Rattus norvegicus: one gene and its partners. The protein of the gene in region 3 purifies or fractionates together with the protein of the main gene of each other region. This does not show direct contact. Links are inferred from orthologs where the notes say so. Each region holds a gene or a part of one and is shown on either strand. Other genes may lie near its edges.

Region 1 (7,863 bases), on a different chromosome or scaffold from region 3:
CTCAGTCAGCTGGTGTAGCGGGCTGTCGTGACCTTTGACCCTGAGCAGAGGTGTAGCAAGGCGGGCCTGTAGGATTCTCGGTCCCATTCCTCAGTCCACCCTGGTGGGGAGGGTGGAGCTGGGAGCTGACTCCTCCCTGTGGCAGGGGGGATTGCCTTATAAGCCCAAGAATGCAGCCCCAGCTGGGATGGCCAGTATTGGCTAGTCAAGAAAGCCCAAAAGGATTGGCCTAGGTCTAGGCCCCTCACCTGGCCCTCCGTCATTGGTGTCAGTAGGACTCAGAGCAAACTTTGTGCCCAGAGTGGGTGAAGCCAGCCTTCTAGCTTGGTATCTACAACTAGCCTGGGGGATGAAAAGGGGGGCAGGGACTTCCTGCCCTGACATCCGCTTGCCTAGAGAGGCCCACCCAGCCACAGTGTAGGCTGTTGGCAGGCAGCTGTTGCCCAGGGCAAGCCCAGCCCAAATGGGCCTGAGAATTTCCAGGCACTACTCAGCCTGAAAGGGGTATCAAGGCTGTTTCTCTCTGGGAGCCAGACATGGTGGTCAGGGCGGGCAGGCATGCATGCTGGCTGTGTTCTTCCCAGGATACTTCTCTGGAATTGCCTTGGAATCTGCTCCAACCAGCAGGATGACTAAGGGCTGTGGACCCTTCCCCCACACATTCAGCCTACATTTCCCCTCTGGGAAAGTGCTGGCCAGTGTGCTGTAGGTCTCAGTTTCTTCACTGGTCATGAAGGCCTTGCAGATGTTGCTGGTTTGGGGGTACTCTGGCCCCTGCTGGCCCCTGGGCTCCTTTGTCAGAGGCCTTAACATGTGGGTGGGGCCGCCCACTGAGCCCTGCCCTGGAGTGAGTTAGGCCCTGATGGGTGGGGTGGTCTTTTCTAAATTGGACCAGCCCGCTATCCCTCCCCTGACCCCAGAGTGGAGGGAGGAAGGAGGGGCTAGGGCTGGCTGAGGGCCCAGGCCTGGAAGATGAGGTAATGTCTGGGATTTGGGGGTTGGGCTGCTCAGTGGAGCTCCCAGGCTGACTCACCCACACCCATAATACTGTCCAGCCCCCTGGCTTTTCCCCTCCTTAATCTCACTAACCTCTCTTTTCCAAAATGGTCCTCCCCATGGTGCTCCTCTCTCCAACTCTGACGGACGGCTTACCCCTCACATGCTTCTGCCCTGTGCACCCCATAAAAGAGATAGTTCCTTTACAGGGAGCCTGTCGCTCCTCCTCACAGGACCCCCACCTTGGTCTTGCCCCACGTCTCTCAGGAAGTAGGAAGGAGTGGCTAAACCAGGTTTCCATTGGTGACTCACCAAGCCTGTGACTAAGTCATTTCCCCTTTAGAGTGTCACTTCCCTGTCCCCATTATAAGGGGCTGGTCGCAGTGAAATAAAGGTGAGAGGGTGCATGCAGACCCCAAACTTAGCCATGGAATGAGGGGGTGTCTTTTCGGACACTGTCTACCCTTGAGCTGTCAGTCCTTCTGCCTAGCCTGCCAGTGTTGGCATTACAAGTATACCTTGCCTGGCACCCCAGAGTCTTTTTTTTTTTCTTCCCCCGAATTTGATTTAATTAACTAGTTTTATTAGTTTTTGAGGCAGGGTCTCTCTGTGTAGTCTTGGCTGTTCTGGAATTCACTATGCAGACCAGGCTGGCTTCCAACTCACAGAAATCCACCTGCCTCTGCTTCTGCCTCCGCAGTGCTGGGTGTATGCCACCACAGCTAGCTATCCCAGCATCGTGATTGGGTGCGCTTGACCCCTCTCTTGTGCCCTATTGTAGTGGAGCCTCCCAGTCAGGACCAAATCCTGGCTGCACCTCTTGCTGGCTGGGTGACTGGGTTCAGGTGTTTGGCAGGTCTGGTTTTTGGTTTTTTTTTTTTCTGAGCGTGAGCAGGGTGTATCCCTAGATCCCCTGCAAGTGTGTTGGAAGATGTTACGTCAGTCCTAGGTGTTCTGTGAGTTGCTATTCTTACCGTGTGCTAGCAGGTAAAGAGGGCTCTGACTCACCAGCTCTCTCCTCTGCTAACCTCCCCTTCAGGCACAAAATAAAGCTGTCGAGTCCAGCTCCCCCTTCTGTCCTAGAGTTGGCAGTCTCTGCGGGAGGTCCCTCTGTCCCTGGCACCTCTAGAACCTCTCGTCTTCTGTCTGTCTGCTTCAGTACACATTGATTAGCTCACCCGAGGAGCCTCCTGGGCCCTTGGGCGTCCTACGCCCTGCTTCTCCTACTACCTGCTAAGTGTAAATGCTCTGCGTGGTACCAGATGGTCCAGTGGCCCTGCGGTTTCAGACCTGTGGAGAACCACCATGCCCCCAATCCTTTTGGCTTTGAGTTGGGAATTTCTGGTTCGTGTGGCAAATAGGGGAACATAGTAGGCCTGGTGGAATGACGGCCACCAGAACTGGCTGATTGCTGGTAAGCAGTGAGCCTTGGTCACCAAAAGTAAAAAATTAAGATAAAAATAAAGGAATGTGGAGCCCTGCGAGCGAAAGGGTGTGGGGTGGGGATCAGGGGTTGGCCTTGATGTGGGGGTGGGGAGCGGTAGCAGTTCCCAGATAGGAGATGGGACACTTCACAGGATATAGGTGACCCCAATCAACCCTGTTAGGCCTTCATAGCCCAGTTTCAGCAACACAGGTAGGTGGCTGTCTGGGGAGGGCAATCTGGTGGGTCAAACAGCCTCTAGAGAGACCTCAGAAAACACAGCTGTCAAGGCTGTGGTCCTAGCCTGCAGGTATGGGCTCTAGCCTGAAGGTGGCTGTTTATCAGCAGTGTCTGGACCGTGAGGGAGCTTGTGCAGCTTGGGTGTGCACCCCTGGGCCTCTGACCATTCCTTTCCACAGCTCACTCCTGGAGGCAAGGCCGCACAGGCCGGTGTGGCCGTGGGAGACTGGGTACTGAGTATCGACGGTGAGAACGCCGGAAGCCTCACACACATTGAAGCCCAGAACAAGATCCGTGCCTGTGGGGAGCGCCTCAGCCTGGGTCTTAGCAGGTACAGGTGCTGATAGGCCCAAGGGGTGAGCACAGCCTCTGGTCTCACTTACAGGCCATGACCACTTTTCTCTCCTTCTCCAGAGCCCAGCCTGCTCAGAGCAAACCACAGAAGGTAGGTTATACCAGAGATACCCTGGCTGAGAAAGGGAGGGACTTGGATTGGGCTGGCCTGCTCTCCGTGGCCCAGCCTTGGCTAAGAACAGAGGGCAGATGCCAGAACAGGCAGGGTCTGGGGAACGGGAGAGTGGAGCTAGGAGCTGCCGCACGGTCCGGGCTCCTCACGTGCCTGCCTGTCTGTCTGCCTGCTTCTTCCCATAAGCCTGTGCTGTGTGCGCCTACCCGCCCTCGGTCCCCCTGACCCAGAGTGGGTTGAATTCATCACTTCCAAATGGGCCCCTTGAATTCACAGTCACCCCTTCATCTTAGCCTCTGGCCAGATGTGTAAGAGTGGGGCCGGACCTGTCACTGTTCTTGGTGGTGGTGACAACTCCGCTCCCACCTTGGCCCCCACTCCCACCCACCCTGCCCGGCTCTGTCTCTGCCCAGGCCCTGACCCCTCCCGCCGACCCCCCGAGGTACACTTTTGCACCAAGCGCCTCCCTCAACAAGACGGCCCGGCCCTTCGGGGCACCCCCACCTACTGACAGCGCCCTGTCGCAGAATGGGTATGTCAGCCCCTGCCCACTCACTCCTGCCTCTTGTGCACAGGTCTAGTCCTTTCGCAAGCGCACACACAAGCTGCCCGCTACTGCTCAGTCTGTGCCGGACCCCAGCCCCTTAACCGTGTGGCAGCAATCCCTGGCAGCTGGGTGGGGCTTCAGGAAGAGAGCCCTGCCCAAGGCTGATGCTCTTCCACAGGCTCTGCCCTCCTGGGCAGCCTGGGGTTGGGGTGTGGTGTTGGACCTGCCAAGTCTCACACACTCATTGCTACCTTGCCTCCCTGTCCACTGCTCTGATTTCCCCCCACCCGTCTTTCTTCTCCTGTGTCTGTCCCTTTATTTGTCTATCTGTCTATTTCCTTCGCAGGTGCAGACCCCTGACAAGTCAGTGAGCCCCCTCTTCCTGTCACTTTTCTCCCTTTTGGCACTCTGGGTGGTGGCGCCTCCCTGCCCTGCCTGTCCTCCTGCCCACTCTGATTTACCCACCCACCCAGCCAAGCCCTTTGCCTTACCCCCCTTCTTCCCCCACCCCCACCCCGCCTCTCAGCTGTCACCGTAACCCATGCACATCACATCCTGGGAGGGGCAGCCCCTGGTGCCCACAGAACCAGGGGTTCTGAGCTCTACCCTTCCATAGACAGCTGCTCAGACAGCTGGTCCCTGATGCCAGCAAGCAGCGGCTGATGGAGAATACTGAAGACTGGCGCCCGCGGCCAGGGACAGGCCAGTCCCGTTCCTTCCGCATCCTTGCTCACCTCACGGGCACAGAGTTCAGTAAGTGCTGGCCTGGGTCTGGGCGGACTCTCCTGGTCTTAGCCTGGGCCTGACCTTGCCAGGACTCAAGGCTGGGGTAGCCTTCATTTCTCTTGGTCAATGCCTGCCTCTGTCCTCTCAGTGCAAGACCCGGATGAGGAATTCATGAAGAAGTCAAGGTAAAAGCTTGGGCGCTTTCCCTAACCTCCCGATTCTTCCTTTCCGGCCACCAGTCCTTGTCTACTCCTGGCCATCCCCTGCCAGAGCTCTCTTCTGTCCCTTCCTCATTTCCTTCCCTCCTTCCTCCCTTCCGTCTCTCCTTCCTTTCACTTCCTCCTCCTCTCTCTCTCTCTCTGCCCCTCAGGGAAAAGTATGTCCTGGAGCTACAGAGCCCACGCTATACACGTCTCCGGGACTGGCACCACCAGCGCTCTGCCCACGTGCTCAACGTGCAGTCCTAGCCTGGCCCTGCTCAGCCTGCTGCCCTCTGCTTTCTTCTCTCTTACTCCCTCCCAGGGCACCCCACGGGTGCCTCCAGCTCTCACCTACTGCTTTCACAGCCCTGGCCTGAACCTCCTGCTGGCCTGGTCCCGGCAGCCCGTCTGGCACAGGGCCTGGCTTCGTCTGACACTGCCTTCCTTCTTGGCCCTGTGGTACTGCTGTCTGCCAGGTCTGCGCTGCCTTGAGCGTGGGAATAAACATTCTCAGTCCTGCTTCCTTTGCCTCTGTCTCCCATCTTTTGGGTCTGGTTATGTTTTGGGTTTGGGATGCTAAATGGTTTAGACTTGGTATGGGTCCTGCAGCCTGCTTCTTGGTGGGAGGGAGTACCTAACCAAGATGCAGGGTGGCTCTGCCTTACCCATGGTTCTCCTGGATAAGGAGACCCAAGGCTTGCCCTAGGAGAAGGAGCACACTCTGCTTCCACACTCTACACAGCAGCCCAGATAGCTGTACCCTTCATAGGGGGGAGCACCCCTTCCTACCTCTAGCCCAGAGGGACCTAGAATACATCCCAGCAGTTCTTGATGCATTTAAGCATCACCCAAGGGGGCAGCACAGCTGAACTTAGGGGGTGGGACCATGCCCAAAGCCTCAGCCAGGCAGGGCCTTGAATGGCAGATCTTACAGCCAGGTGCCCAGGACAGAAGCCCCAGCCCCAGCCTCAACCATACCCCAGGAATCCTGGCCTGGTAAGACACTGGGCTTGGGGCTGAAGAAGGGTGGGTAGCCTCCATGGACATAGGGGTGGTGGGCTTTTAAGGCTACCCTGGGTTCTACCCTCTGCCCTTTGGGCTTCCTGAGTACCCCTCTGGATCTACTTTCTTTGGCTGTCAGGCCCCACCACCCCCAGCCCCACCAGCCGCCCACCCTGGGCCGTAGATCCTGCATTTGCTGAGCGCTATGCCCCAGACAAAACCAGCACAGTGCTGACCCGACACAGCCAGCCAGCCACACCTACGCCTCTGCAGAACCGCACCTCCATAGTTCAGGCTGCAGCTGGAGGGGGCACAGGAGGAGGCAGCAACAATGGCAAGACGCCTGTATGCCACCAGTGCCACAAGATCATCCGGTGAGTATTCCTTTCTAATGCTGATCTTTCCTGCCCTGTAACCTGACCCTGTCGTGTCTCATGTACCTATCCTACCTTTGCTGCTGCTCTAAGAGAGTTAAGGATTTGGTCTGGATCCTCAGATCTTTTTAAATTTTCGTGGTTTTGTATGTGGGTGTTTCAGTTGGATGTGTGTCTGTGCACCACTTGCATGCCTGGTGCCCACAGACACTGAGCAGGGGGTTGGATTCCCCTGGAATCAGATGGCATTTAGATGGCTGTGAGCCTTCGTGTGGGTGCTGGGAATCAAACCTGAGTCCTGCAGAAGAGCAGCCAGTGCTCTCAGCTGCTGAACCATCTCTGCAGCCCCCAATCCTCAGGTTCTTAATCTTGCACTTCCCACCACGCTCACACCCGGCTGTAGCAGGGGAAGCATGAAGGTGCTAGCAGCACCCTGAAGCAGTGTCTGTCGCTTCGCCGGCTCTCTGAATAAAGAAGGGCCTCCCTCTCTGCTGCTTCCTCCTCGGGCTTGCTCTCTGCCGAGCCTCTGCTCTCAGAACCGATAGGCCACACGTACCTCCCTCTGTACACTGCTTACTGGAACCCAGCCAAGTCACACAGCCCCCTCAGAGTCAGATTCCAGAGCCTTCCTAGTTGTTGGTCCTGTCCCTGGCCTGCTTGTTCTGCCCTCAGCTCTCAGGCAGAGAGGATTTGTAAAGCATCCCCTCCTTCTGACACCCCTGTTTAATCTCAGGCCTGCAGATGTCTGCTTAGGCCAAATGGAACAGGCAGTCAGGACTGGGCATTCATCAGGGTCTCATCATTTCTTCATCTTCACACTGGGCAGTAGTCCCCCAGGGGTGTCTTGGTAGACTCAAGCCATCAGCTTCCACCCAAACCAAGGTGCCTCTGTCATCAAGAGCGAGTATACGTTTGCCCCATCTTGCTTACATGAACAAGCAGCTCCTGTGAGAACAAGGGTCTTCTGAAGGGAGGAAACACCGCTCCTGTCTTCCTCCTGGAGCCCCTACCTCACTTGCATGCATTCCCTCTCCCTGCAGCGGCCGATACCTGGTAGCACTGGGCCACGCGTACCATCCTGAGGAATTTGTGTGCAGCCAGTGTGGGAAGGTCCTGGAAGAGGGTGGCTTCTTCGAGGAGAAGGGAGCTATCTTTTGCCCCTCCTGCTATGATGTGCGCTATGCACCCAGCTGTGCCAAATGCAAGAAGAAGATCACTGGAGTGAGTGGGGCTGGCAGGTGGGCAGGAGATGCAGGTGGGCAGGAGATGCAGGTGGGCAAGAGGTACAGGTGGGCAGGAGATGCAGGTGGGCAAGAGGGTGGAAGAGAGAGGTGAGCAGGTGGCAGGAGATGCAGGTGGGCAGGAGATGCAGGTGGGCAGGAGATGCAGGTGGGCAGGAGATGCAGGTGGGCAGGAGATGCAGGTGGGCAGAGGGGCAGAGGGCAAGGGAGAAAGTGAAATGTTAGCAGTGTTGAGCACTGTTGAGCAGCTGTTAGATGTGCAGTTCTCAGCAGGAATCCCCAGACTCCTAAACAGCCTAACAGCAGAGAGTGTAGCTCAGTGGTAGAGCACCTGTGTCACACGCACAAGGCCCTAGTTCTGTTTCTGGCAGCCTCATCAGGCACAGTGGCGTTGACTTCTAATCCCAGCACTCAGAAAGCAGAGGCAAGAGGATCATGACCGACAGCCCAGCCTAGGCTACGTAGTGAGACTGCCTAAAAAAAGCGGAAACATTCTATCAATGGCTTCACTTTATATCAGGCAGGATACTTTTCTTTTTTTTCAGTTCTTCTAGATGGGGTTTCTCTGTGTAGCCCTGGCTGTCCTGAAACTCGCTCTGTAGACCAGGCTGGCCTTGAACTCACAGAGATCCTCCTGCCTCTGCCCTC
Region 2 (7,863 bases), on a different chromosome or scaffold from region 3:
CTTCTCTGTTTGGATATTTTGCCTTCATGTGGATATGTGCACTATGTGCTTGACAGGTGTCCAAGGAAATCAGAAGAGGGTGTTGAGTCCTATTGGAATTGGAATTGCAGACAGTTGCGAGCTGCCCTGTAGGTGCTCTGAACCACCCTGGTCCTATAGAAGTGTAACTGTGCTCTTAACTACTGATATTCCCCACCCCCACCCCCCAAGGCAAAATCTCACTATGACTGGTCTGGAACTATGCTTGGCTTCGGTGTGTGTGTGTGTGTGTGTGTGTGTGTGTGTGTTTGTGTGTGTTTGGACATTCTCATTAGAAGTGGGAGATTATAATGAATAGCCATAGGGAAAGGTTTCACACTGCTACTGCTAGTTGAATTATATAAGACAGATGCTTCTGGCAGCAGTTTGATCTTGGATAAACTAAAAAAGCTTCAGACTAAGTATAACTAATACATTGGAGCTGGGTAGCTGAGGTCTGTAATATAATCCACTCAGGAGTCTGAGGCAGGAGGACTGCCAGATACAAGGTCAACCTGAATAATTTAGGGAGACCATGCTTCAAAAAGGCCTGGGTCAGCTAGGACTGTATCTTATTGAGTGCTGCCTGGCATACTTGGTAGCCAAGTAAAATGACTACCACCACTAAATGAGAGAATTGAAGGAACTTTTTTTCTTCTTTGTAGCCCTGGATGTCCTGGAACTCAGGCTCTAGACCTGGCTGGCCTAGAACTTGAGATCCACATACCTCTGTCTCCTGCATGCTGAGATTAAAGTAGTTTGCCTTCATGCACAGCTGAACTTTGGTATTGGTAAATACCTAGTGCACTGGGTATGGGCTTCTGGTGGGTGTTCTGGGTTCAAATAGAGTAAAGCATGTTTCCCGTTAATGTCGAGTGTATATTTGGATAGTGGATAACATTTTAGTATTTTACTTATTTGGTGTAGCTAGTCTAAATTAATCCTAAGTGGATAAGCAATTTGTGTTCACATTGTATATAATAGTCTATAGTATTAGTAGTTGTCTTTAATATGAATTGTGAGTATCTGTAGGGTTAATTATGAGTACTTGTTTGAAGTGCATCTTGGCAGACACTATCATCAATGTATTATCTTGTAGAATTGGACCAACCAGGTAGGTCCTTGAGCTTTCATTTCCACTCCAGTGACCATCTGTTCTCTGTAATTGATCTTCCCTCTTCATTTCTGTTTGTTTACACGTGCTGGTTATTTATCTTTGTAGTTCATTGTTGGCCTCATCTTTCCTTTTTCTTTCTTTCTTTTTTTTTTTTTTATCTTCGTTCAGGTTTGATTGCTTGTAATCATCTCAGTAGAAGCACTGTCAACTGGGTCTCCTTCCCCCATACTTAGGGGTGCCTTTCTCATGTTGGCATTCCTGTATTAAGGAGTGAAAACGGGAAGAGTCAAAGTTTGGTTTTTAGTGATAGCAGGAAAGGCCACACTTAGATGAAAAATGGACTAAGGTTATATAGGTAATCACTTTATAATAATCAAAGCTGTAGGTCCTTCTGCCCCCAGATACAAGCTTGCAATATATATCATGTGCAAACATGTCTGCTTGTCTAGACTTGTGCATTGTGCTTTACTACTGAACCATATCCACTGTAGATGGTACTAATACAAAAAAGTGCTAAAATAAGGGCAGAAAAGAAAATCCAGCCTTTATTATTTTTGAGATAGTCTAAAGTAGCATTAGGTGGGTCTGGAGTTGGCTGAGACAGGCTCTTGTTTTCTGAGACAGGGTCACATGTGTTTCCTGTTGCCTACAAATTGGGGTCACACTAGTGGCCTAAATTCCTGATCCTTCTACCACACCCAGCTTGAGGTTAGTTGAGATAGTTCCTAAACTTTGTTTGGTGATCTGTAGCTTATTTTATAGCTCCTTCCCTCTGGTACCTGACACTAGTTAATACAACACGTGATTGTTGTCTTAATATTTCCTAGTTAGCTTAGTCCCTTGTGGCTGTTATTGCCTAGGTATTACACTTTTTGAGTCTCTGTCTTCATTGAAAAGAGGATGACCCAAAGGCTTTTTTTTCTGCAGGAGTAAGGGCTGAGGACCATGCTGAAGATGTTTTGAAAGAGTTATTTTCTTTATGTGGTAGGTATAACAACATAGAATTTACTAGAGAAAGACATGTTGGTTGGAGTGGGGAGACTCAATAGTTAAGTTTTGGTTATGTTCTATTTGAAACAGCATGCTCACTATCCAAGTGGCTATTTTGTGCAGTCTTGTGTCTATTTACTGGGTTAGGCTTTCATTTGGGACTCAGGGTGTTATATAATGGGCAGTAGATGTTGAGATGAGTGAGGCTTTGAGCACATTTGAGGAAATTCATCATAGAATGCAGATCTGAGAAGACTGGAAAAGATTTGGGAAGTCAGAAGAGCCCTTAAATGTATGGGGGAAGGGTTAGGAATTCCTGAGCTTAAATCAGGTGATTTCAGATGATGAGGTAGGACAGAAGTAGAAACTTGGGAGTGAGTCAGGCTGTGGAGAAAGAAATACATTGGACTTAAATTAGTCTATTTCAAGGGGTTTGGTGGTTGAGAGGTTGGCAGCTCTCAAAGTGTCTCGAGTTCTCCAAATGAATTAACTCAAGGGGTACTCTTCATTTAAGAAGGCCAGCATTCAAGTGTTGGCTGAATATCAACTGCCAGTTGGTGCTGTGTACCCCACTGCCTTGAAGTCAGGATTCATGGCTGGTTCATTTGGCTCTCCTGTCAGCTCTAGTTTTTGCATCACTCATAATAGAAACATGGACATTGGTGGAAATATTAGACCACCTCGGAGGAGAAGGAGAAGAGGGCATGTGCTTTGACTCTTACTAGCACTTCACAGTAGCTGTTGTTTCACTTTGTAAGGCTCACATATTTGCAGTCAGAAACAGTCTTGGGATTTATTGTTCTCTAAGAGTGGATTAGTACAACAATGTTTGCCTTGTCTGTGTTGGGTCCTGCAGTTATTAGCATTGGTTTTTAAAATGCTGCTTTAGACAGATCCTTTGTAGCCCAACTTTTATCATTTAATGGAGTAGAGAGGAAGAGGTGTTGTTTTTTTTCCCTGGTGTTGATGACCAAACTTAGGGCCTTACATGTACTCACAGGCTCTCTACCATTGAACATATCTCCAGTCTTTATTTTGGTATTATTTGCTATTTTTGTTTTTGAGACAAGCACCATTGTGCAGCCAGGTGGGGCATAAAGTCTGAAAGGGTAGGATAATGGTTGTTTGTTATCAAGGTGGTATTTGATGTTGTAAAAGATTGTGCTTTTCCATTTTGCTTGTAAGACCCTTTTCAAAGTTCATGGTCCTTTTCTTCCGAAGGTGAGTGGCAGTTTTTCTTGTTTTCCTTCTGAGGATGGTAGCCTTTGAGGAATCACATTTCCTGTAGGGCTCTCAGTAGTAGCTTTCCTGTGCCTGAAGGCTAATGTAGGTTGAAAACCCCAGACCTTGTGGACTGGTGCTCAGGCTGCTATTGTGTTAGGATTGTAAACTCCCTGGTGCTTTCCAGTAACTGAGCTGTGCCTCCTTCCTGTTTTGTCTGCCTTCCCTCAGTTTATATCATATAATATATAATTTTATATACGTATTTAGTTTTTGAGACAGGATTTCTCTGTGCAACAGAGCCCCCTGGCTGTCCTGTACTTGATTTGTAGACTGGTCTGACCTCTAATACACAGAGATTCTCCTTCCTCTGCCTCCCTAGTGCTAGGATCATAGGTGTGCACCATCACACCTGGCTGTCCTGAACTCACTCTGTAGACCAGGCTGGCATAGAAATCAGATGTGCCTGCGATTTGCATCTCTGGCACTGCAATTAAAGGTGTGTCTCACCATATGGATGGGAAATGATTCTTGAACCCAGTTTTTGGACAAAGGTCCTGCCTAAGATACAGGCTAGTGACTGGGTCAGTAGGTGCAGAGGAGGAACTGACTCTTATTCATTCTCTCATTTTTCACTGATTAAGCAGTGTTATCATGGGTGTATTTTTTTATTTGCAGGATTTGTTCCAACAGTCTGTTAAAACATGGTGGATTACTATGAAGTGCTGGGCGTGCAGAGACATGCCTCACCTGAGGACATTAAAAAGGCGTACGTAATTCTATTTCTGAGATGATGTTCTATACCATGGTTCGTTGGTAATTCGATAATGTAAAAATTAGGTTTATTCATTTTATGTGTGAATGTTTTGCTGGCCTGAATGTATGTGTGTATGCTCAGTGTTTAAGGAGGTCAGAAGACAGTATATGATCCCCTAGAACTGACTTTGTGGATAGTTGCAAACCACCATATGGGTGCTGGGAATCAAACTTTGGATCTCAGTAAGAGCAAGTGCTCTCAAACCCTGAACAAGGCAGCCATCCTGTACTGGGATCTAATCTAGGTCCTATGGTTTAATTTTAAATGTTTAAGTTCTAATATTTCTCAGACTAGGGGATCTTTGGGCATTCTTTCTAATTGGTGATCTTTAGGTTGAAAGACCGAACAACTCTTAAAAAAATGAAGTAGATGATTCTTAGGAGGTTAAGCTGGCTTTCATACTCATACACACTGTACACGCATACATACATACATATATATATATATATATACACACACACACACACACACACACACACACACACACACACGTACCCCAAAAACCTGACAAATTATACCATGTCCCAAAAAAGAAATGTTAAAATTGCCCTGTGTGCTAGAGGTCCTAGGTTCCATCTGGAGTTCCTCGTACTATCTATATTTACTTTGTGATACCTCCTTCTCTCCCTGGTGTTTCCTGAATTCCAACCTAGGCTTGTTGTCTCCACTGAACTATATCTGTAGCTCTTCACCATTATCTTTTAAAATGTTGGTGTATGCTGGGTGATGTTAATCCCAGTACTCAGAGTAGGCAGATCTCAGTGACTTTGGGACCAGCCTATTCTACAAAGTGAGTCCCAGACAGCCAGGACTCTGTTACACAGAGGGTTGGTGTGTCATCAGGGACATAACCAGTTGAGGTTTAGTGTTCTAGTTTATTTCTGATGCTGTGATGAACTACCCAAAAGAAACAGAAAAGGGTTTACTTCATGATAGAGGTCACATAGTCATCACTGTGGAGAAGTCATGGCAGACGCTTCAAACAGCTAGTTCGATTATATCTACTATAGTTCAGATAAATGAGTGTGTAGATGGCTGTGTTCTTGCTTGTTCTCAGCTTGCTTTCTTTGCAGTGTAGGGGTGCTGTCTACTGAACGGTGCTGTACCTAATCCACATCAGCTTCCTTGAGACCATTCTCCAAGTAATTCTATATTCTAGCCACAAAAGTTGACATTTCAATCTTGTTTAAGCATTAAATCTAGAACAGGTGGCTATTTAAAAGATATTAGGAGTCCAGATTGTGCTGTGGGAGATGTTCTTCCTTTATATTGATGATGAGTGGAGGATTGAATGGCTGGGGAAAAAATAGAAATACGAGGGAATTTATTTACATTGTATCTGTTCTGCTCAGTGGACAGGGAGTTGTCTACATTTTGTACACGCTTAGCCTGATCACCAGAGCCTGTAATTTGAATACTTGGATCATCCAACATGCAAGTTTTCAAACTAATTATTCTTGCCAGTTCTTGTGCAAGTATCTGAAATTAGAACTTGCTTATTTCATTCGCAGGAAAAAGGGGGCTTTACTGCTAAGATATTCTTATACCTAATGGTATAGTTATTTTCTGTTTAAGGGTAGGGTGTTTTTTCTTTTTCTTTTTTCTTTTTCCTTTTTTGAGACAGGATTTTTACAGTGTGCATGGCTGGCCTGGAGCTCAGTATGTAGACCAGGCTAGTCTTAACTCATAGACCCATTGCTGGAATTAAAGGTGTGCTACTACCATGGCTAGCTGCTTATATTAAAGTTCTATGGACTTCAGTGTACTCAGTATACACCTTTTTCATCTTTCAAGGTATCGAAAACAGGCACTCAAATGGCACCCAGACAAAAATCCTGAAAATAAAGAAGAAGCGGAGCGGAAATTCAAACAAGTAGCTGAGGCATATGAAGTGTTATCGGATGGTAAGTAAGCCTGAGCGGGAAGGGCTCTGAGAGGGTGCATCAGAACAGGACTTCTAAGAGAGCACAGACACAAAATTTGTTTGCTCCCAGCTAAACTGCTTCCCCTTCCCAAAGGTTTTTATTTTTTTGTGGACTTTGTATCTGGTACATCTAACCATGGGTCCTGAGGAGCTATGGGCCATGCATGAGCTGTAGACGTTGTTCTGCTGCAGGGATTGTTAATGGGGTTTTAATACTTGCACAAGGAAGGGGTGCTCCGATTTATTTAGACTTTGACACAAACACACACTTTGACACATACATACACACATACACATCCCACTTTAGATCTAGAGCATAGACATTAGATGCCTCTGAAGGTTGTTTGCAGTTGGGTGAAGGGTTAGCTGTCAGCTAGGGGCACCCATCACATTTGTGGTTAAGGAAAGATTTTGCATCTAAAAGGCTGGGACTAGTGCCAGAGATGTGAAAAGTACTGCCTATATCCTAAGCACTATCCTGCTGGGTGGCCTGGCACGAGTCAAGGCAGAGGCATTTAAAAGGTTAGGTACTAATTGACTGATTATAGGAAATAATAGGTCACCATCTTAAAAAAAATCTTTTTCTAGAAGGAACCTGACCTAAAATGCAATGAGCCAGCTTATTGGCATACAACTCCTTGCATTATCAATACTCTAATATGTAACCTTTCCAGTTTTAAAGGCAACCCACGAAACTTCACAAGTATCAATTTTTTTCCCCACTTAATGAAGACATTGATAACTGAAATCCTGCAAATGTGGCAAGGTCTTAATACTGTTGGGGCTTTGAGCTCTAGTGACTGGAGCCTGGACATCAGAGCTTATGTTACTGTTCTTACAAGGGCTCTTCTTACTCAAGATGGGGTTGTTCTTCACTTTGTTTCCCCTGTTGTAGAATAGCATAAGATTTTTGGGGGAAGACAGAAGGATGTGGCAGCTGTGTTGTGTGGCTATCCCAGAAGCACAAAGGCAGCAAGCAGGGCTTGGGCAACCAGCATAGCACCTATGAACCAAGTGAGTGAGTGGTCAGCTCAGCAGAACCTGAGCCTGAGCCTGAGACTGAGCCGTGCAATGTAGCACAAGCCTGGCTTCTTTTATGGTATATGCTTATCCACTGTGCATTCTACCCAGTGTTTAACATCCATTCGCTGGACTTTGTAGTAAGCATCTGTAGCTGTTACAAGTAAGTTTGCCAATTCAGGAGACCTGCCTCCTTTTAAAGTCAAGGGTCTTCTAAATGGATGTAGATTTAAAATGGGAAATACTGACTGAATGTTGGAAAGAACTTAACCATACTGATTGTTTTTCTCAAATTTAAAGCTAAAAAGCGGGACATCTATGACAAATATGGCAAAGAAGGATTAAATGGTGGTGGAGGAGGAGGTATGTCAATTTTCTTTTTGGAGACAAAAGGGCTTGACAAATTACTTGTGTAACTGAACTGTGTTCAGTTCTTAAACGATTTGTTCTTGATAGTCAATAGGGATTAGTCTTGAAAGTGGTGAGTGAGTTTCTTCTTCCTGCTTCCTCTTGTTTTCCCTTGCCCCTTTGTCACTTCTCTCTCCATTCCCCTCCCCGCTTCTCTCCATGTACTCATGGCTGGCCTCTCCTCCTCTTCTCCCTCTCTTTCTCTGCCCTACCACCTTCTTAATTCCCCTCCCCATGCCCTGAATAAACTCTATTCTATACTTAAAAAAAGTGGTAAGTTGTGTGAATGAGAAGCAAACATTTACAGGAGCTGCTCCTTGGCTGGGCCTGGTGGTGCATGCTGAAAAT
Region 3 (8,387 bases):
TTTAAGTTTTCCCAGTCCTGGCTAACGTCAACCACAGCCACAGTTCTCCTGTGTACGTGGTCTTCCCTCGTAAAGGGCAAATCTACTTCACAAAATGGGGGACAAATTGTGTCCTGGGAGGCACAGTTAGTTCTTGTGCAAGCCAAATACACAGGCTGTTCTTCAGAGGGAAAGCGACGGTCTTGGATGAGCACCCTTCTGAGGCACGTGGCTGTGCTCCTGATCCTCTCCCACCAAACCACTTCCCAGCCCTGACTGCAGCTTGCTGCAAAGGAGGGGAAGGAGCCACTCAGCCCCTGAGTCTGCTAAGAGGCACAATGGCAGGTGATCGATGTAGAAAGAGCAAAATGACCTAATCTTTTGAGAGCTAACAGGAGGCTCTGCTGGGTCTGAAGCAGAATAAATGGGTCTTTCCACTTCAATCATAACTCAAAAAATCTCCAATTTTCTGTGAAAAGGACAGTTCTCCTCACAGAATTAAGAACAAAGTGGTTGTGAGATGCTGGAAGACAAAAGGGAAAGGCTCCAGCCTGGGGTGGAGGGCAGTCTCCTCACGCTGCCACTGTGCACAGGGTATCTAGGCTCCCTAGGCATACCACACCCAGTTCAGCTCCAGCAGGCAGGCACCTTGAGGGTGTTGACAGGCCAGATGTGAAGCAGGAGGCTCCCTGTGCGCCAAATGGGATCAAGGGCCACTGTGGCTTTCAAGGCCCATGTGGCTAAACCAAAATCACCAGAAAGACCCCTGAACTTATATATTTCTGGGTCTCCTTCTAGACAATTCGATTTAACATGAAGTGGGAACAGAATGGGTCAAGTAACTACAATGTACACTCTTTTAAAGATTTATTATGTTTATTTTATGTGCGAGTATCCACACATGTCCGTGCCTCAGGTTCCCTGGCACTGGGGTGAGCCGCCTGACTTGGGTGCTGGGAGGTGAGCTCAGGTCCCCTACAAGAGCAGCAAGTGTAATTAACTGTCGAGCTGCCTCGCCAGCCCCTCAGTGTATATTCTTCAAAGGTTCCCCTAGAGGGCATTCAAAATGGCTTAGTGGGTTAGGACACCTACCACTACCTCTGATGACCATATTTTGCCCAAAAATCCACATGGTAGACACTCCTGCCAAGATGTCCCCTCAACTCTACATATATGCTATGATGAGTGCATAGACACAAAATTGAACTGAATTAAAAACCAAAACCCTGAGGACTGCCAGGATGGTGAGTCCCCAGATCCACAGAGGTGAGGAGCTCTGTTCCAGGACCGTCTGCCTCGTAAGGAACCAGCACTCTGGAGTACCTGACCTGTTTATTCATGGAAGAGATACACTGGGAAGGGGCTGCAAGGGCTCATGCATCTCCAGACTCCACAGTGAACACTGACCTCTCTACAGGAGGGATCTCAGTTGGTATGGACCTCCCTGATTGGTAGAAAGGCCAAGTGTGGAGAAAAATCAGATGGAGGCATAGCATGGCTGCTTGCAGAGGTGTCTGCATGAGGACATCATTGCCTCCAGTTGGGACAGGCTAAGGGACAATAAGGGCCACTTGTTTGCCATAAAAACAGTGGTAGGAGATTTGCTATAATCACGTGAGAGAAAACTAAAGTCAACTCGGAGAGTTTAGGACTGAATACAACACAAAGGGTTGGTGATTTTCCTCTTTCCGAGAAGGGGTCCTCTTTGTCAGTTCTGACTGTAAACATCCAGATGCCTTCTCAGACTTCCCAACTCAGCCAAGGGCTCTTTATTGACTGACAGCATCTCCTAGGCAATGGGGGATAATCTGAGGGTCTCTTAGTTCCTCCCAGAAAGGCCTTTGTTTTAGGCAGAGGCTTTCTCCTTATGCTTCAAAAGACCTATTTCAGGGACTAGAGAGATAGCTCAGCATTTGGGAGTGCTTTTGGTTCTCCAAAGTTGAGTGAGTTCAAGTTCCAACATTCACAAGTTGGCTCACAGCCCCCTATAACTCCAGCTCCTGGGAATCTAACACCCTTGTGGGCCCTAAGTACACACGGGCATACATAGACATAAAAATAAAGAAGGTTGGGGATTTAGCTCAGTGGTAGAGCACTTGCCTAGCAAGCACAAGGCCCTGGGTTGAGTCCCTAGCTCGAAATAAAGAAAGAAAGAAAGAAGGAAGGAAAGAAAGAAGGAAGGAAGGAAGGAAGGAAGGAAGGAAGGAAAGAAAGAAAGAAAGAAAGAAAGAAAGAAAGAAAGAGAGAGAGAGAGAGAAAGGAAGAAAGAAAGGGAAGAAAGAAGACTATTTCTAATATAAACTATTAAAGGTCACCAGGCAGTGGTGACAGACGCCTTTAATCCCAGCACTCGGAAGGCACAGTTCAAGGCCAGCCTGGTCTACAGAGTGAGTTCCTGGATAGCTACAGCTACACAGAGAAATCTTGTCCCAACAAACAAACAAACAAACAAACATCCAAAAATATTAAAGGTCTTCCAAGTTGGTAGCCTGCAGTAAGGGAAACAGCCCCAGTCACATGGATGTTTTGTGACAGCCAACGCATGGGTTTAAAAGCAGCGAAGTCCAGACTCAAAGCAACCAACAGCTTGAGGCTTTGATTCTTCCACTGAAATGCTCATTTTCTTGTTGGGTTTCTGTACCAAGCTGGCAAGTTTATCTCAAGTAATTAATCTGGTAAAGGAAACCCTTCTCCCGAGTTAGTCACAACCATCAAAACTCAGACTAGCACAGCACAGAGGTCAGCACACTTCGGTTTCATACAAATTCAAGCCACTTCTGAACAAACTCAGCCTCTTCTAACTGGTCCGTCCACTTGCCCCTCTCTCTCTATTGGGGTTGGCGGGTGACCTTCAGAAACACACGTGAATTCTCTGCGTTTCCTTATGCAGAAGGGAGGGGGACACTGTTAAGGACCTTTCAAGTTTAAAACTATAATGATGAAACTTTCATTTTTTTTCAAGCCCAAAACATCTGATTTAACGTTTTGCACTCTCTGCTTCATAAGAGCAGAAAGTTAATTTCTTTTGTTTGTTTTTTTATCTCACACAGATTTATGAAAATCCAGCCTAAAGCATCCACCTAGTGTCTACAGCAAATCCTGACACATTGGCTAAGCAGTAGCATGATGTGCTCAAACTTGATCTTCACTCCCAACGAAGGGTGCCAGAGGGTTGAGATCCTGCCTGTAGCTATAGGAAGGAGGCCTCAAAATACACACTGGGGGGCTTCTACTCCCCATGCAGTCTGAAGACGGCTAGTTTCAAGAGAACCTTTTACCCAATAATGGATGAAACGGACACACACACACACACACACACACACACACATGCACACACACATGCACACACACACGTGCACACGCACAGAGATACACGAAATTATGTCCATCCCAAATTATAGCCTCTTATAGTAATAATTTCCAGAAATATACAATTAATTTCTTGTAAATGTAAACTGCCAAGTATGTGGCTCACTGCTGGATAGTAAAGTTGTAGCAATAGTTGTAAGGAAAATGCTTGACTGAAGTTCTCAAGGCCCTGGGTTCAGTCCCTATCACCATACACATAAAAACCAAACTAGATTTTTTGTAAGATAATGATTTATAAAGCATTTTTAATTGGGTGAGTTTTTTAAAATACCAAATAATAAATAAACTCTTTACTGCTTTTATTTTTTTCCAGAAAGCAGTAAGTTTGTATTTCTTCTTGTTTGGTTTTGTTTTGTTTTGTTTGAGGCAATGTTTTTCTATAGACCAGGCTGGACTTGAACTCAAGAGATCCACCTGCCTCTGCCTCCCAGTGCTGGGATTAAAGCTGTGCACCACCAGGTCAGGGCCAGGTTAGAGTCTTTTAAAAAGTGTACTTATTTTTCAAAACTTTTCATTTTGAAAAGACCAAATTTACATAAATCATTACTGAACGGTATACTAAATATGACTTCTGTTAATTTTATTATTTTCAAAGATCCTACCTAGTCAGGTGGCGGTGGCTCATGCCTCAGGAGGCAGAGGCAGGAGGATCTCTGTGAGTTCCAGGACAGCTTGGTCAGAGTGAGTTCCAGGATAGCCAACACTACACAGAGAAACCCTGTCTCGAAAACTAAAACAAACAAACAAAAATCTTACCTAAGTTTGTGTTTTTAGCTCTTTTCAAAATTTAATTGATTTTTTTTTTAAGATGGGAGGGTCTTATTTCACAACACAGGCTAGTTTCATTCCAAATTTAATTACTAAATAACTTTTAGGATAGATTCTGGTTATATAGCCTAAGCTAGACTTGAACTCAAGATCCTCCCGCCTCAGCCTCCTGGGTGCTGGGATGACAAGCCTGAACCAGGTCAGGCTTATTTCCAAATTTGTATTTTCAAATTTTTTTGCTCTTGACACTGAGGCACACAAGCCTGAATATATATGTAAATGAAGCATACACCTGCTGTTCACAAGACTCCTCAGCTGCTTCTGGCAACAATCTCCAGTATTTGAAAACTACAATAACAAGGAATCACGCCATTAAAAATACATTCTCTTTCTCTCCAGTGTGAGGCAATGTCTTAAGCCAACGGCTAAGTATGGATATAATATCTGATTCTCTAGTTTTGAAACTGCCAGAAACAATATCTTTATTTAAAAAAAAAAGGAGTAGTATCAGAATACCTCTAACTGAAAGCAGTTTCAACCAGTAATAAGTTTAGTGGAGGAAAATAAGTTACTTACTCGAGCCTCCTCCTGAGTCACTCTATGCCTAAGATCCAATAAAGTCAGGATAACCCTCAACTAAGTTCTGAACTTGAAGGCGAAATCCACACAGGACTCCACTCAGCAGCCTTGCAAACCTGGCCGTGCGCCACCAGCACCGGAGGGAGCCGAGGGTCTCAGTACCGGACCAGACAGTCGCGGCGGAGCCTGGCCTGGGCCTCAGCCGCTCATCAGGCCCGTCGCCCTTCCATAGGACCCGGCGCACCGCAGCTCAGGCCACCACCTGCCCTTCGCCCCTCGCAAGAGGCTGTGGAAAACCACCCGATGTCACCGAGCGGGTCGCACCTCGCTGGCTACCCTCCAAGGCCACCCCGCCCAAGGTTCTCCGGGGCCCGACGCCGGTCCAGGGCCGGTACGGTTAGGGACTCTCCTGGCGCAGCAGGGCGCCGAGTGAAGTGACTCGCGTAGCCCTGGCTCGACCAGGCCCCTTCACCGTCGAGGTGGGACGTCTAGTTCCACTCACCTTAGGGCCCTCGGGGGGCACACGCGGGTCGTTCCACGTCGTGGTGCGGCTGTTGTGGTCCACGAAGAAGGGCCAGCCGGTCTGCGGGTCGATCTTGATCTCCCAGCCCGGGGGCAGGGGGTCTCGGTCGCTGGCTCCGTTGCCGGACGCCATCTGCATCACCGGCGACTGGGTGGCGGCGCTCATGCTTAGTTGGGGTCCGCCCGGGGCGCAGAGCTAGGGCGCGGGTCACGAGGTCGTGGAGTGCGGGCACCTCTGTGTAGCCGATGTGTCCGGGAAGCCGGTGCGGGCACCTTTATGAATTAAAGGACTGGGTGACGTGGCCGAAGAGGGGTGGAAGTGTCTGGAAATAGCCTCCTAGCTGCCAAAGGGGAAGGAGGAGATAAAGAGAAGGCAGCAACTGGCCGGCTAGAAACTTCTGGTCCCATCCAGAGAACTTGGCGGCCGCCGTGGGTTGGATGCGGAACTCCGCCCTGAGTCATCGGCTATAATCGCGGCGGGGCGGGACCGTGGGAGGGATTGGAGGCGGGGATTTGTCACCCGTCCCTCCTTCTAGTCTTCTCTGGCTGTCCCTCCCTACCCCTGTCCTGAGTGCGTCCCGGGGCCTGTGCGCCTCGCGCCCGGTGGACGCGCACCGGTGTCCTTGTGATCCTTGGCTAGTTTCGGTCTCTGGACTCCTCAACACTTATTCGTTGCCGCGTGGGGTGTCCCGGGGCTGGCAGTCCAAGGGCTGACGCCTAGGGCCCCACCTCTGCGTAAGGACTAAATCATCTTTAAACTCGGAAAGTCTAGATCTTCCCCACTCCCAAGTACGCTAATATTCAGTGACGCTGGCGTCCTGCAGTGACGTTTTTAATAACTTTTTCTCAAGGGCCTTAGGACTTCTCCCTAGGAGTTCTGGAATGCTGATCTGACGTCACAACAAAAAGAAAGTACTGTGGAAACTCACCTGCCTGCTTTGGGAAACTGAAGAACTAAGGACTGATAGGACAGCTTTGTGCTCTTGGCTTACTCTATGATATAGACACATTCGCATAGTGACTAGCCTTAAAATTTATAATCCCTGGGGTTTGTTTGGTTTTGTTTTTAATGATAAAGGTGGACTCTGATTTGGAAAATAAGGATCACACCACACCCTGCAATTTTGTTTGTGTAAGTGACAATCGACTTCTAATCCCATTACCCATCTGGTTCCCAGTGCCCTCCAGAGAGAGAATGTTCGGGGGATCCAGCTCAGGTTCTTAGCGTGCAAACTCATTCCCTCACTTCAGAACCTCCTGGAACTAATACTGAGCCCAATTTCCCAACGCAGATTCAGAGAATATCCTGGGACCTTCAAAGATACCATCTCTGGCCTCGTCCCCTCAGATTTTTATTCTGTAGCAAATACTCTGCCAGACATCGTCAAAGAGCTGATTTTTTTTTTTTTAAACTTCCAAAGACCTTCTTACTGACTCTAAAGTCTCAAAGCTTCGGTATAAATATTAACATAGCTAGCCTTCAGGGACTGACTGGCGTCACCAAACACATCTGTGTAAGCCCGAATGTGGGCTTATCATTTGATAGTCACATTGAAAGGTCTGGACTCTTAGATTCATTCACTGACCAGCGTCTGTCTTTTGCTTCTTTATACCTGAACCCACCCAGCACACGGCTAGGTCCAGGTCCAGAGTCCATCTTCAATAAAGAAATATTGATATTTTTTGAAGACTGAATACAAAGTGAAACAAAAAAATTTTGTTTGTTTTTCAAGACAAGGTTTCTTTGTGTAGCTCTAGCTGTTCTAGAACTAGCTAGCTATGTAGACCAGGCTGACCTTGAACTCACAGAGATCCACCTCTCTCTGCCTCCCAAGTACTGGGATCAAGGGGGTGTGCCACCACTGCCCAGCTGTGATTTTATTTTACTTTTTAAAGATACCATCTATCTATATATTTCTGCCTCCCAAGTACCAAGATTAAAGGTGTGCACAACCATGCACACCTATGTGCACAACTATGTCCTTTTTTTTTTAAAAGAAAGAATTATTTGACATGTGTGAGACTGCTTGTATGTATGTACACTATGTGTGTGCAATGCCTGCAGAGGTTTGACGAGCGTATTGGATGCCCTGAAACTGTAGTTAAGATATTTAGAGCTTCCTTGTAGGAACTTCCTGGTCCTCTGTAAGAGTAGCAAATGCTCTTAAATCATCTCTCTAGCACCCCCTCTTTGTCCTTGAGTTGCCCCTTCATTCCTACCATCCTTTTGTATCTTCCTAAGTATGGTTTGACTCTGTGACTCTTGTCTTTGTTCAGTCCCACCAACCTGTCCAGGCCATCCTACCCTCTCGTCTGATCCTTGCACAGCCTCCTAATGGGTTCCCAGCCTTTGAGCTTGTCTCTAAACCTCTTCCCCATAAGGCAACCAGAGAGGCCTTTTCATGCACCCACCAAGTCCACTCTCCTTGGTCTGGTGCACAAAGGAGTCTTCCTCGCTTTCCCTGGTACACACTTAAGCTGACCCTGCTGAACTGTGTGTCTTGCACACACTGCTTCCTCCACCAAGGAGGAAACCCCTCTGTCTGCTCCAACCACCATCTTCTGGGCAGCTTGGCTTTTCCCAGAATTGCCTTTGGCACACTCTCCTTCACACGTACCCCCTCCCACCACTGCTCCCTCCCCCACACTAGTCCTGTGACCATCCACATCCTGTCCCACCCTACCAATTGCTTTACACTGTAAATGCTTGTTTGTTTGATTTACTTAATGGGCTGAGTTTTTGAGAGCAGGAGCAGGATCTTGATCACCACTGTGTCCCTATCCTCCGGCACAGTGTGTGGTAAATAATAATTATTAAAAACAACAGTCGTGATGGGTAGTGCTTATTGGGGAATCACTGTCAGGTGCTATGTTTTTTACTTTACATGGGCTCGGTGGACATTTGATCTTTGTGGTGGAAGCTATGATATGCTGCTTTGATCTCCTACGCACGAGAAGTGGGTTCTACCCACTGTCGAGAATGCTGGAGAAACACTGAGGACCTGTCACATTCCTCTGTCAACAGTGCCAAAAGAACAGACTTTTTGTTGTCATTGCTGTTTTGAGATAGAGTCTCTCTATGTAGCCCCGGCTGTTCTAGAATGTGATACACAGACCATGCTGTCCTCAAACCCAGTGAGATCCGACTGCCCCTGCCTCTTGAGTGACGG

Evidence for each region.
Region 1: the proteins of Bag3 (region 3) and Pdlim7 purify together in Homo sapiens (affinity purification with mass spectrometry; 3 studies listed by BioGRID and IntAct, counting the BioPlex papers as one, with this or other methods). This does not show direct contact. The link is inferred for Rattus norvegicus from reciprocal best matches to the Homo sapiens genes BAG3 and PDLIM7.
Region 2: the proteins of Bag3 (region 3) and Dnajb6 purify together in Homo sapiens (co-immunoprecipitation; 3 studies listed by BioGRID and IntAct, with this or other methods). This does not show direct contact. The link is inferred for Rattus norvegicus from reciprocal best matches to the Homo sapiens genes BAG3 and DNAJB6.

What each region holds. Positions count from the first base shown.
Region 1 is NC_086035.1:9,131,436-9,139,298, forward strand, and holds part of Pdlim7 (PDZ and LIM domain protein 7), read left to right. Parts: intron 1-2,838; coding exon 2,839-2,990; intron 2,991-3,073; coding exon 3,074-3,104; intron 3,105-3,538; coding exon 3,539-3,657; intron 3,658-4,018; coding exon of another isoform or gene 4,019-4,039; intron 4,040-4,288; coding exon 4,289-4,425; intron 4,426-4,546; coding exon 4,547-4,583; intron 4,584-4,768; coding exon of another isoform or gene 4,769-4,865; exon of another isoform or gene 4,866-5,121; intron 5,122-5,532; coding exon 5,533-5,594; intron 5,595-5,739; coding exon 5,740-5,974; intron 5,975-7,014; coding exon 7,015-7,195; coding exon of another isoform or gene 7,196-7,257; intron 7,258-7,323; coding exon of another isoform or gene 7,324-7,440; exon of another isoform or gene 7,441-7,863. UniProt on the Homo sapiens protein: May function as a scaffold on which the coordinated assembly of proteins can occur. May play a role as an adapter that, via its PDZ domain, localizes LIM-binding proteins to actin filaments of both skeletal muscle and nonmuscle tissues.
Region 2 is NC_086022.1:6,216,905-6,224,767, reverse strand, and holds part of Dnajb6 (dnaJ homolog subfamily B member 6), read left to right. Parts: intron 1-2,062; exon of another isoform or gene 2,063-2,119; intron 2,120-4,024; 5' UTR 4,025-4,050; coding exon 4,051-4,115; intron 4,116-5,957; coding exon 5,958-6,067; intron 6,068-7,407; coding exon 7,408-7,470; intron 7,471-7,863. UniProt on the Homo sapiens protein: Has a stimulatory effect on the ATPase activity of HSP70 in a dose-dependent and time-dependent manner and hence acts as a co-chaperone of HSP70. Plays an indispensable role in the organization of KRT8/KRT18 filaments.
Region 3 is NC_086019.1:192,530,557-192,538,943, reverse strand, and holds the start of Bag3 (BAG family molecular chaperone regulator 3), read right to left. Parts: upstream 5,485-8,387; 5' UTR 5,384-5,484; coding exon 5,198-5,383; intron 1-5,197. UniProt on the Homo sapiens protein: Co-chaperone and adapter protein that connects different classes of molecular chaperones including heat shock proteins 70 (HSP70s), e.g. HSPA1A/HSP70 or HSPA8/HSC70, and small heat shock proteins (sHSPs), e.g. HSPB8.